Canis lupus familiaris: one gene and its partners. The protein of the gene in region 1 binds, or shares a complex with, the protein of each later gene. Links are inferred from orthologs where the notes say so. Each region holds a gene or a part of one and is shown on either strand. Other genes may lie near its edges.

Region 1 (4,292 bases):
GTATCTGGTGTTTGCGATTCCATTTTACTCAGGCCAGGCACGCACAGAGTGTGATTCTGTCCTTGAAAGATTACTGCAAAAAGGCAACAGAAGAAAGGTGGTAAGGAAAAAAAGAGCTAAGTATTTGGTATGAACAAAAGGTTTTAGCAAGGGGAGTCCAGGTCCAGTCCTTACCACTTTCTGGAGGACGGCTGGACAGTGCAGAGAAAGTCAGGTACATGATGTAGCAGCTGATGATAGAGGCTTGTAGAAGGCCAGAACGGGGTTGCTCTGGGGAGAATGGAGATCATTGCTTTTGTCTACAGGGTAGTAATTTCTGCTCATATCCATCTATACTTCTTTCACCCACCCTTTGGAGGAAGCAGACCATTGACTAAGATTAGGGAAGCTAACGAATTTTTCTATACTAAAGGCCTTCCAGATTTGGAATGCTGCAAGGCATGTACCCACTGAGGCGGATGCAGGGAGCGATGGAGAGGAAGGAGAGGAGGCCACAGAAACAAAGGTGCAGACTAAGCAGCGTCTTGTTGAGCAGGCAGCCAGCTGGGTGTGTGTAGTGGTGGAACAGGAGCACAGCTGCCACACCTGCCATGGTGTAGAATCCCAGGGCAGCCAGCAGTACAGCTAGGAACCAGCGGCAGTCTTGGGCTGCACCTGTCTGCCTAAGGGTGGGAGGTGGGCAGTGGCTTGGGGCTCCAACTCTTTACCCTTTAATAAACTATTCCCCCCCCTGCTCCCGGAACACTGGTGTGACTACTCATCCCACCTAGCCTACAGAGTCCTCATGTTTCTGAGCTTTTTGGCACTGTTCAGTGGGAAGTTAGGGGGCCACTGGCCTGTCATGCGTTTTGCCCAACCCTACTGGGTCTAGTAATGTCAGACAACCTTCCCAGGAAGAGCCTTTAGGATTAAGTGCTCCTTACCAGTTTTTGTTCCAGGAATGGGCAAAGGCTGTGATAAGCACCAACTGCAGCAGGATGAACGTGAACCCTCCACAGATACCAATGTAATGCCAGGCTGCAAGTAGGGGGCACCAGTGGGAAAATGTAGCTGACCATGTCATTACTCCTGGTTTTCTTCCTACCCTCTCTTTCTTAGAAAAGCTATTAGCTTACTCCTGCTGATTAGGATATGAGATGGAAGGTACCTGGGAAGAGATGCTCATCAGGGATGCAGAAGGCAACAGCACAGAGACCTAGCAGGAACAGCAGTTTGAGGATCCAGAAGCTGGTTAGGAGACAAAACAAGACTCAAGAAAAGGCAAAGCGGAGTGAACAGTGCCTATGGAAGAAGGCAAAGGAGAAAGCAAAACTATAGGAAAGGGAAGAGAAGAGACAACTAAGTATAGGAAAGGAGGAACCAGTCCCACGTGAGAAGGGCTGGAAATAGGCCCATCACAGCTTATTCCAAATTCTCTCAGATACCTAAATAATATCTGGACAGTGTTTCACAGTTGACAAAGGGTTTGCATATAATAACCCCACTGTTCTCTCCATTTTAGCAACTAGAAGTTCAAAGAGGGTAAGTATGTGGCTCATGGTCACACAGTAAGTATGGCAGAAGCAGGAGCTTAAAGCTGTTTTTGGAGTTTTTACACTGCTGTTACTTCATCTTGGAATTTCCTTTACTCAGCCTATGTCTACTTTTCCTCCCCAGTCTCACCCCACCCAAAGTATATATACACAAACCTGTTGTGGAGCTGTGCCCGCAGGCTGGAGGGGGAGTGGAGCTGGACTAGCAGCATAGCCTGCAGTAGGTGGAAGGTGGCAGTTCCTGCGCATACTCGGTACACAGCTCCAGAGCCACTGAGCACTGGGCAGTGAGTGTAGCCAAACAGATGGACACATAACCCTGAGGGCATCTGGATCTGGAGGAGGAGAGTGCATGTGAGAAATAGCAGGGCAATTCATGAATAGAGAGGTACCTGCTTCTCATGGTTATATCCATTCAGTTGTCCCCTACCCCCCAATCTGAATTTTTTGTCTATCTGAGGGTTTCACCTTTCACTCTTGGGTTGCAACCTGAATCCTCCCTCTTACCCCATGTGCCTTCCCCCAGATTCTTTCCATTACTGTCCTTGACAGCAGGAGGCAGCAGATTGCTGAGGACCCCAAGTGGAGGAGGATGTAGAACAGGCGGCTACAAGCAGACTCTGTGACAAGGGGCCATCTAGAATGGCAGCTGCAGGTACAGGGAACAGGCTCACAGCAGGACACCTGGGGATAGAGCAGCAGATGGAGATTTGCTGAGGAAAAGTTTAATGTATGTATTAGGTTAACCCATGAGGCTGAATTCCAAAATTTCCCTTTCGTTTTCTTCTCTCCTTTCACTCAGGAATTCTCAGAATCTGGTTCCAAGCTATTTAGGATTGCCTTCCACTGACATCAAGTAGAGCTTTCATCATAAGAGCTGATACAGGCTTGAGCAGACCTTCCTAAAAGCCTAAGTCACACCTGGCCTCTCACCTTTCTGTTAGACCTATAGACCTGGTACTGGGAAGTGGGACAAGAGGTTTAATTTCAGGAGCTAAGAAAAGGAAAGGCCTCAGAGGGGAAAGGAAGGCCTATCATCTTTATTGGCTCCCTGGGTTTTCTTCCCCAGCTTCAGCCACCATTCCCTTCCATTTTCTTAGTTCCTGCTCTAGGGACCTTTCAAGCCCCTTTGCCCAAGTATGCTCTCACCTGATAGAAGGGAGGATTCACCATGATATTGCTGATTCCACTGCGTTGTGCCAGGTGGAGGGAGGTGCTGGGTTCTGTAACTGCCTTGGCACCCACCATCCTTGTCCCAGGGATTAGGCCCAGGTCCGCCAGATGGAAGTAGGATGAGAAAGTAGCTTTTTTTTGTCCTCAGCCATGGGCTGCCACGGTGCTGGGGGGTGATCACCCAGTCTAAAGGAGTATGAGGAGGGACATAACGAAAGGAACACCAACCTCCCGGATGTGGTAAATGCAAATGTCTCTGTAAAGCTACTTTCTTTGCAGGGCCTTTGGGCCACACAGGCTGTTCTCCCCAGATTATGGAGCACTTTGCAAATCTGGCCTCTAGTGGATTAGCATCCTTAATTGGTTTAGGACTAGACGTCATCCATCCTGGTTGAACAGAATTGATGGGGGCGGGATGGATTGGAAGGGGTAGAATCTAGGTGAAGAGAAGCTAAGGATGTCGGTTGGTGAGGGCCGGAGTAATGACGGGGTAGCTGTGTGGGAGGGCCTTGCAGAAAACAACACTAGAACCCCTACAGGAAGTCTGAGAGGCAACCCTCCTTCCTGACTGAAGTTTCTAGAACCCAGAACATTAGTGAAGGTGTGGCCCGAGCCCAGCCCCGCCTCATCCTCTCCGGGCGGAAGTTTCAGGGCAGCTACCGGAAGTCTTGGTGAGGTGGGGCGGGGCCTGTGCAGCGGCACGGTGGGATCGATATGGCTACCGAGGGGGATGTGGAGCTGGAGTTGGAGACTGAGACCAGCGGCCCGGAGCGGCCTCCCGAGAAGCCACGGAAGCATGACAGCGGTGCGGCGGACCTGGAGCGAGTCACCGACTACGCGGAGGAGAAGGAGATCCAGAGTTCCAATTTGGAGACGGTGAGGTTGGCCGTGAGCGTGTCTGGGCGGGCTGATAGCGGAGGGGCCTCTCCGGTTCTAACTGGAAGCCCGGCTCCAGGACAGGGTCCCCATCCCGTTGGCGGGAGGAGGCAAGAGGGAAACCGTCACTGGAGCCCGCCGCTTGCGAAAGAGAGTTTGGTGGAGATTGTGTTTAAAGTGGACCTCACGTGCACAGAATTGAGTTAAACCTAGGCCTTGGTTCCTGATACACTCGTCATCATGAATAGACCCTCCCTGACACGCTTATTAGCTTTTTAGATTATTGGGACTTGCGGGTGACAGAACGGTAAGTAGGTGTTTTTCTCATAGGCCATGTCCGTCATCGGAGACAGACGGTCCCGGGAACAGAAAGCCAAACAGGAGCGGTAAGTCTGTGCGCACGGCCAGCCCTACAAGTTCCTCCCTTTTCCCCATACGAGAATAAAAGCCATTGTTAAGCCTTTGTACCTTGTACCGTTCTTCAACTCTGTCACCAGTATTTGCATATATAAGGTTTACAACCTTGTTGGAAAGGCCTCCTCCAGCTGCCTGTTGTAAAAAACTCCGAGGGGAGGGGAGGCGGATGTTAGGTGAGGGGTGAGAGTCATTTTGTATTTTCACTCAACAGCATTTGTCAGGAGTCCTTTATTTGTAAGACACAGCAGGGAATGATCCTTCTGAGAGTTAAAGGTGGAGGTAGAGAATGAGGAC
Region 2 (2,284 bases), on another chromosome or scaffold:
GGGAACTATCCAATGGCTCAGTTCTGTAAACCTAAGGCTGTACTAAAAATAAAGTTTATCAACTATTTCCAAATGAAGGCTTAGGTTAGGGGGCAGATTCCATGGGTATTACGGTAGTCGAACACACCAGACTTCCCGATCTTCTGGATGGCAGGGGAGGGAGGAATCAAGGACAGCTGCCAGGACTTGAGCAACTGGGTGGCTGCTTGGGCCATGACAAGACAGGACGGCACCAGATAAGCCCAGTGAGCAGCTGGACTCTAGGCATCAGGAGCCCAGCAAGGCAGCAGCAGAGCATCTGCCTCCCGGCAGGGACCAGCCTCCAGAACTCCAGGGTGTCCCTCTCCCGGGCCCAAAGGTGCCGAAAGCCATCAGACATGGGAGCCCCACCTCCAAATCCCCTCTACTTGGCTCTGGAGGGCATGCGGTGCTGAAAGGCTGTGATGTCCATAACCACAGGGACACAGAGTGGCTGGAGAGAGGTGGCCCCCTGCCCGCCCCCCATGTGCATACTCGCACACACACACTCCCCAAGGCCACTGGGGGAAGTTTATTGGGAAACCTCGAGGGGCGAGCACAGGATGGGCAGGCCAGGGTGGGGTGAGGAGCAAGTGCGGGCTCTAGGAGGCAGAGTCAGAGGCCTCTGAGCTGTCCTTGACGTCGGTGCTCTCTGTGGTCTCGCTGACCTCGCTGAGATCCTTGCTGTCGCCCCCGCTATCGTCAGCAGCCAGGCCTCTCTCGTCACGACAGGCGTCTCCAGAGCTCGGAAGCGAGCTGCCCCTGCCCTCCACCTTGTTCTCGATGGCGCCCAGCACCACGTGTCTGCCTTTGTCCTTCAGCTCCAGATGCCTTCGCAGCTGCCGCCAGGAGCCCGGGGGGACGGAAGGGGAGACGGGACCTAAGTCTCCTGAGCACGCAGGCCCTCCGCCGCCCCCCACACCGGGGATGAAGGGCGGCAGGCCTGGGGCAGGAGACCTCTTGGGCCCTGCAATCTCCTCTGAGTGAGCGTGCACATGCCTCCCTCACACGGGCTGCCACCAAGCCCTCAGAACGGCCCTGGCCCCTGACGAGCCTGGGGCAGGACCCTGACTTTCTCCTCTGCCCAGCCGAGTCTCACCCCTGAGACCAGGGGACCAAGTTCTGGGCGCTTCCAAGAGCCTCCTCCCTCTCCTCTGCCATCACGCCTCAGACAGGACAGGCTTTGGCAGAGAAGGGAACATTGGGGTGATACCTCCTTTCCAGCCCGGCCATGGCCTGCTCCCTGCCTGGCAGCTGAGAACGTGAGGGGAAGGGGCGCCGACTGGGCAGCACAGCCTCTGAGGGCCTCCGACAGCCTCAGGCACCCCAAGGGACACTCACCTCGTCAGCCATCTGGGTGAGGTCCCGCTTCATTGCGTACGCGTCTTCCCCATCGGCGTAGTACTTGGGCTCCACTTCGCTGATCCTGGGGGCAGGAGGAGCAGAAAAGAACGACCCAAATCAGAGTTTCAAGTCTCCTCAGTCTTCTGGCATCCTGCGCTAGTGCGGCGGCACGTCTGTCTTCCCCGACGGAGACAGCAAGCCCATTCCGACGCGGCCTGCCCTTTGCGCTCGCCAGCAGTAGGCAGCAAGTAGCACCCAGCGCCTTGCACCCTCTGGGGGTTCCCACTGTCCTGTGTCCCTAAGCTGGCTCCCACACATCTGTTTCTGTGGTTTGCTGTGAGCCCAAGCCCTGAATTAGCTGTTCCCTTCCCTCCATGCCCTGTTCCCTGTCACTCACTGAGCAACCAAGGCTGACTCCTGGGCCTAGCCACTGGAATGGAGGAGGACGGGAGCTGGGACCTCTGGTTCCTGACAGTCACTGCCAGGCCCTGTGACCCCTGCTCTGAGGACCTTAGGGGCCAAGCCTGCAGTGGAGGGTGGATGCACACACTCGGGTACCCTGCCACTGGAAGGGTGTTGGACTTGATGGCCTAGGAGAGCTGGCCAGCCCCGAGACCCCACAACTGTTGGCCACCAGAGACTCTATATCCAGATCAGGACCCCTCCCTGAATGCCTTTCCTGGCGGTCCCTCTTCACCCCCAGCAAACTGAAGCTGAAGCTGTCTCTGGGGGTCCTCCACCCCCAGCCTCCCCTTCGAGCAGCTTCCACCACATCACTTCCCTGCCAGGTTTTCTCTGTTCTGCGCCAGGCACACAGAGACTCCCATGTCCTCAAGTGGGCTTGCCCTCATCCACCAGGATACCCCAGGGCTCTGCATCCCTCCACTGCTCTTGCCGATGACTCTACCTGCCTGGACGTGCT
Region 3 (4,359 bases), on another chromosome or scaffold:
GGAAATTTATCTGCTATGGTGGAAAGGCAAGTACATGCCAACACTATTAAATGTCCTACTGCTACTACTAATAAAAACAAAGTATAAATATAAATACATGGAAAAATCTGATAAAATAGTACATTTAAAAAGTTTGAAAATGATGGGGAATATAGGCAATGACGTAAAACATTTAAATAGATCGACTTAGAGGTAGATGTTCTTCATGTTTCTAGTAAATACTCAGGACCACGGTTTCATTTTCATAGGCCTTTCCAAATCAAGAGTCAGGACTATAACGCTAACCACACTATGTGTTACAAGTCTTTGAACTTAAGGACCTCAGAATCTTTTATTTTTATTTATTTTTTTAAAGGACTTATTTATTCATGAGACAGAGAGAGAGACAGAGACAGAGGCAGAGGCAGAAGGAGAAGCAGGCTCCATGCAGGGAGCCCGACGTGGGACTCAATCCCAGGACTCCAGGATCATGCCCTGGGCCGAAGGCAGGGGCTAAACCGCTGAGCCACCCAGGGATCCCAGGACCTCAGAATCTTTTAAATAATGTCAATTGTCTTCATTTGTTCCGTGCCTTAAATACAAGAGTTAGAAATTTAAAAAAATTTAAAGTCCCATTTTATCTAGTAATTTTTCATCTGGGAAGTTAAAGGGACTATTCCTGTGAAATCATCTTAAAAGTTTTTAACATTAGGAACATAACTTTAAATTCCCGATAAAAAATGATAGGAACTAGACGTAAGGACTCTTCATTTTAGGGATGGTTGCTGGCTTGCGGCATAAATTCAGTAACTATTAATTTCCTCTAGATTTGGCCAGTTACTTGTTTCTGGGGATTTGCCACCATCGTGTTGTTACATATAAATCACAGTTTAAATAAAAAGATAATTGCCTCATGAGTGTATTAACTGAAGGTAGATTGTGAATAATACCACTGTTTGACCCCATTTCTATTGCCAAGGTAGGTATCCGAAAGAACATTACACCCTAGCAAGACTGAGCTAGACCAAAGATTTTGGATCTAAACACCCAGAATAACTTCTTGGAAGCCCTCCTTTATAAACCCATGTAGAGCCTCAACTGTAAGAACTATTCAGCCTCATTTTTAGTATTCTAACAGAACAAGATGAGAAACACTGTGTGCTGATTAAGAATACAAAAACCAGTAAGAGAAAGCATCCATGCTCAAGGGAAAAAAGAAAAACCCCACTAAATTATGTTGGGTCATATATAATAATAGTCAAACTTCCCAGATCGTGATTCAAGTGCTACAAATACTTCCCATACTTTAAAGAGTATCCCGACTGGAACTCTTTAGAACTCGATGTTCTGTAGTGCATGTACTATGAAAATTTCATTTCTGAGCTTTAACGTGAAACAGACAATTCAACAGTAGACTGAATGTCCAATATTTAAAGCAAAATCAGAGTTAAGGAATCACATTACAGACCTACAGCCAATTAACCTTTCTTGGACCTCTTCAACCCCAATCACGTACACACACCGAGGGCCTTGTTTTAGGCGGCATGAGATTATTTCAGAGACTGGCTTTTATTCTCAAAAGGCTGAACATCTGAAAGGCTTCACTAACTCAAAACACAGTTCCAAGTCTTTGACTTGCTATAATAGAAAAAAAACAAAAAACAAAAAACAAACAAAAACCCTCAGACATCTCTGAAAGCTTTTTTTGTTTTGTTTTGTTTTCTTCCAGAGAGCTTTTAACGCTGATAAAAGGAGAGGTCCAAAACGGTTAATTTAGGAAATTATTTTAAGACGTCGTGTTATGTAATTAATATTTTAACTGTATATAATTTTAACAGTAAGGGGACACCTTATCCAAGTGGAAAAGAGTTGAGCCAAAATAGTCCCTGATTTTATCCAAGAAGGAAACTGTGAAAAAAGAAATATTAGTTTTGCTATCACCTGAAAAAAGCTTGGTAGTAGGAACCAAGGGCCCCCCCCACCCCCCCACCGCACAGGGGCAAGAGCACACCACTGGAGCAATAGCTCCACCTACTGATCAACAACACTTCCTTAAACATTTTGGCACCCCAAGACTACAGAGCTCACGCTCTCTCCCCCTCCTCCACGCGCCCTGACCCAACCCAAATCCAGTTGAGTCACTAGCTCTTCATACTCATCTCCATGCTCTTTATTCCAATTCCTTCTCCCTCCAGAAGGTTCTGCGCTGCTCCCAAGCGTGAACACGGCTGGAAGGTGTCAAAGATCGCAGGTCCCAGGGTGAGCCTGGATCTCAAGAGGGCAGCCCGACCACTCGGCTTGGAGCGGAGGGGAGCGGAGAGGCGGGCGGGAGTGGCCCAGCCGTGCCCCCCCCCCCCCCCCCCCCCCCCCCCCCCCCCGCCGGCTGCTAGTCTCCGCTCGACCCACACGCGTCCTCGGGGCCCCGGTGCTGGGCGTCCCGGGTCTTGCCGCTGCTGGCCCCGGAGCCCGCCAACAGCCCCGCGCCGAGCACCCGCCCCCTCCGCCGAGCAGAGGCGCCCCGAAGCCTCCGTCCGCCGCGTCTCGGCCCAGACTCTCTCCCCTTCTCCGCAGCCCCTCGCCCTCGCCCTCGCCCGCCGGGCCCTGCCCGGCTGCCCTTCCTCACCCTTTCATCTTCCCCGCCTGCTGAGGCCGTCGTTACCGCCGCTACCAACGCCGTTGTCGTCGCCGACCTGAGCTCTCCGCGCCCGCAGCTCGGGCCGCTCAACCCCCACCAGCCGGCCTCCCCGCCTAGGGCAGGGAGCTGAGCGGGTGACGGAGGCCGCGAGAGCCAAGCGCAGCCCTGCGTCTCCGGAGGGGGCGGGGGTGCGTCCCGCCGCCGCGCTGGGCCGCCGCTCCTCCACACGTGCGCCCCGGGCAGCCCGCTCCCGCTCCCGCTCCCGCCGCCGCCGCCGCCGCCAGACCCGCCGCCGCGCTGTGACCTTTCACCCCGCCCCCTCTGCGCGCCGGCGCGCCGGCCGCCTCGCGCGCAGCCGCACTGCTGCCCTCCGCGCGCCCCTCCCCCTCCACCTCAGGACCTCCATTTTCCTACTGGGCTGTGGCTTCTGGCGTCACCTTTCTCCTCCCATCCCTTACGACACCTCCTCGTGGGGCGTGCCCGGTAGGCCCCGGCGGTAAAATCCGGATTTTTCCACCCTTCCCTCTCTTCTCCCATGTCAGCAAGAGCAACCTTCCCCGGCCCTGTCCTGTTCTTCCAGTTGGTAATTTCCAGAATGACCTTCAAACGCTCCCGCCTCCTAGTACGGTTTTATAAAGATGGTTTTTCTAAATGTAAAGACATCTGTGGAAGACTCAAACAAATGAGACTTTTTTTTTTTTTTTTTTTTTTAAGACCAACGTAACGAGCAATCGGCCGGATAACTTGGCTGCAGTCCGGCACGATCCAAGTTTTGAGGTCACGTGATCGCCTGGGCTGAAGCCTGGGATTTTACCGGCGGCAGAACGCCTTCGCCACTTCCGGTCCCTGGATCCCAGCCGAAACGTCACTTCCTTGGAAATGCACTTTAACCCGTTTCACTCACGCACGCCTTCTGTATTACACTTTACGACACAATCTTTGTGAAAGTTTTCTGGTTTTGTTTTTTGTGTTCTTCCTCCGACCTCATCGCAAGGAGATGAATGTTTGAAGGACTCGCAAAAAGATAGGCGCCGAGGATGCGGCACGCTCGCCCCGGGGGCGGCTGGGCGGAGCTCGAGGTCACGTGACTGCCTAGGCCCGCCCCCCGCTGCAGCTGAAGACTTCCCCTCCCGCAGTGACAGAGCCTCTGGTCCGTGGTCGGTACTGTTTGTGCACCTCGCGCCCCGGCAGGTGAGCGGTGACCGGTAACCGGCGACTGGTGGGAATAGGAGAAGGGGTGGGAAGAGGAAGAGAAGGGAAAGTGTGAACGGTGGCCTCCGTTGTCCGGGGCTTCCTCCCTGCTGTCATCCTGCACTGGCTAGGACCTCTTTTCTCCAGTTCTCCTGACCCTCGCTTCCCCCACTGGGGTCGCCCCCGCCACTTAGGGGTGAGCTGTCCACCTTTCCCAGGGTTGGGGGTGACTGCGGCCACTATGGTTGCCTATTCGGAGTCGTTGGGGCTTCGGGTAGTGGGTTTGGTTCAGCCATTTCTCGGGGTCCGCGGTAGTCTCCAGGTCCTATTCCCCAAAGCCCCCCCCCCCCTTTTTTTTTTTTTTTTTTTTTTTTTGCAGAGGCCCTGCTCCGTCTTTATCTTCAGCCTTGGGCTGGGAAGCTGGGAGGTAGGAAACACCCTGGAGGCAGAGGCGTCTCCGGTGAGACAGGCTTGGGAGAGACTCTCACTGATGGGGCCCTCACTGCGGAGTCACTGTTAAAGCTTGCTCCGAATGTGCTTTCTCAGTAATTCTG

Evidence for each region.
Region 2: the proteins of HYPK (region 1) and NAA10 are in contact, whole or in part, in a crystal structure (PDB 6C95), measured with the Homo sapiens proteins. The link is inferred for Canis lupus familiaris from reciprocal best matches to the Homo sapiens genes HYPK and NAA10. Residues at the interface, in NP_057484.4 of Homo sapiens: Lys27, His28, Ser30, Gly31, Asp34, Leu35, Arg37, Val38; in NP_003482.1 of Homo sapiens: Glu24, Tyr26, Lys29, Tyr30, Tyr33, Lys59, Glu134, Lys136, Tyr137.
Region 3: HYPK (region 1) and NAA50 share a complex: the UniProt entries of both Homo sapiens proteins name them as parts of the N-terminal acetyltransferase E (NatE)/HYPK complex. The link is inferred for Canis lupus familiaris from reciprocal best matches to the Homo sapiens genes HYPK and NAA50.

The regions. Positions count from the first base shown.
Region 1 is NC_049251.1:10,827,235-10,831,526, forward strand, and holds the start of HYPK (huntingtin-interacting protein K), read left to right. Parts: upstream 1-1,365; 5' UTR 1,366-1,688; coding exon of another isoform or gene 1,689-1,867; 5' UTR 1,868-2,039; coding exon of another isoform or gene 2,040-2,216; 5' UTR 2,217-2,681; coding exon of another isoform or gene 2,682-2,780; 5' UTR 2,781-3,419; coding exon 3,420-3,581; intron 3,582-3,911; coding exon 3,912-3,967; intron 3,968-4,292. Other genes in the region: SERINC4 (serine incorporator 4), read right to left, coding at 1-73, 175-270, 451-662, 924-1,017, 1,148-1,227, 1,689-1,867, 2,040-2,216, 2,682-2,780. UniProt on the Homo sapiens protein: Component of several N-terminal acetyltransferase complexes. Inhibits the N-terminal acetylation activity of the N-terminal acetyltransferase NAA10-NAA15 complex (also called the NatA complex).
Region 2 is NC_049260.1:122,964,421-122,966,704, forward strand, and holds the end of NAA10 (N-alpha-acetyltransferase 10), read right to left. Parts: intron 1,445-2,284; coding exon 1,360-1,444; intron 858-1,359; coding exon 621-857; 3' UTR 530-620; downstream 1-529. UniProt on the Homo sapiens protein: Catalytic subunit of N-terminal acetyltransferase complexes which display alpha (N-terminal) acetyltransferase activity. Acetylates amino termini that are devoid of initiator methionine.
Region 3 is NC_049254.1:18,681,038-18,685,396, forward strand, and holds the start of NAA50 (N-alpha-acetyltransferase 50), read right to left. Parts: upstream 2,888-4,359; 5' UTR 2,611-2,887; coding exon 2,603-2,610; intron 2,151-2,602; exon of another isoform or gene 2,135-2,150; intron 1,467-2,134; exon of another isoform or gene 1,448-1,466; intron 1-1,447. UniProt on the Homo sapiens protein: N-alpha-acetyltransferase that acetylates the N-terminus of proteins that retain their initiating methionine. Has a broad substrate specificity: able to acetylate the initiator methionine of most peptides, except for those with a proline in second position.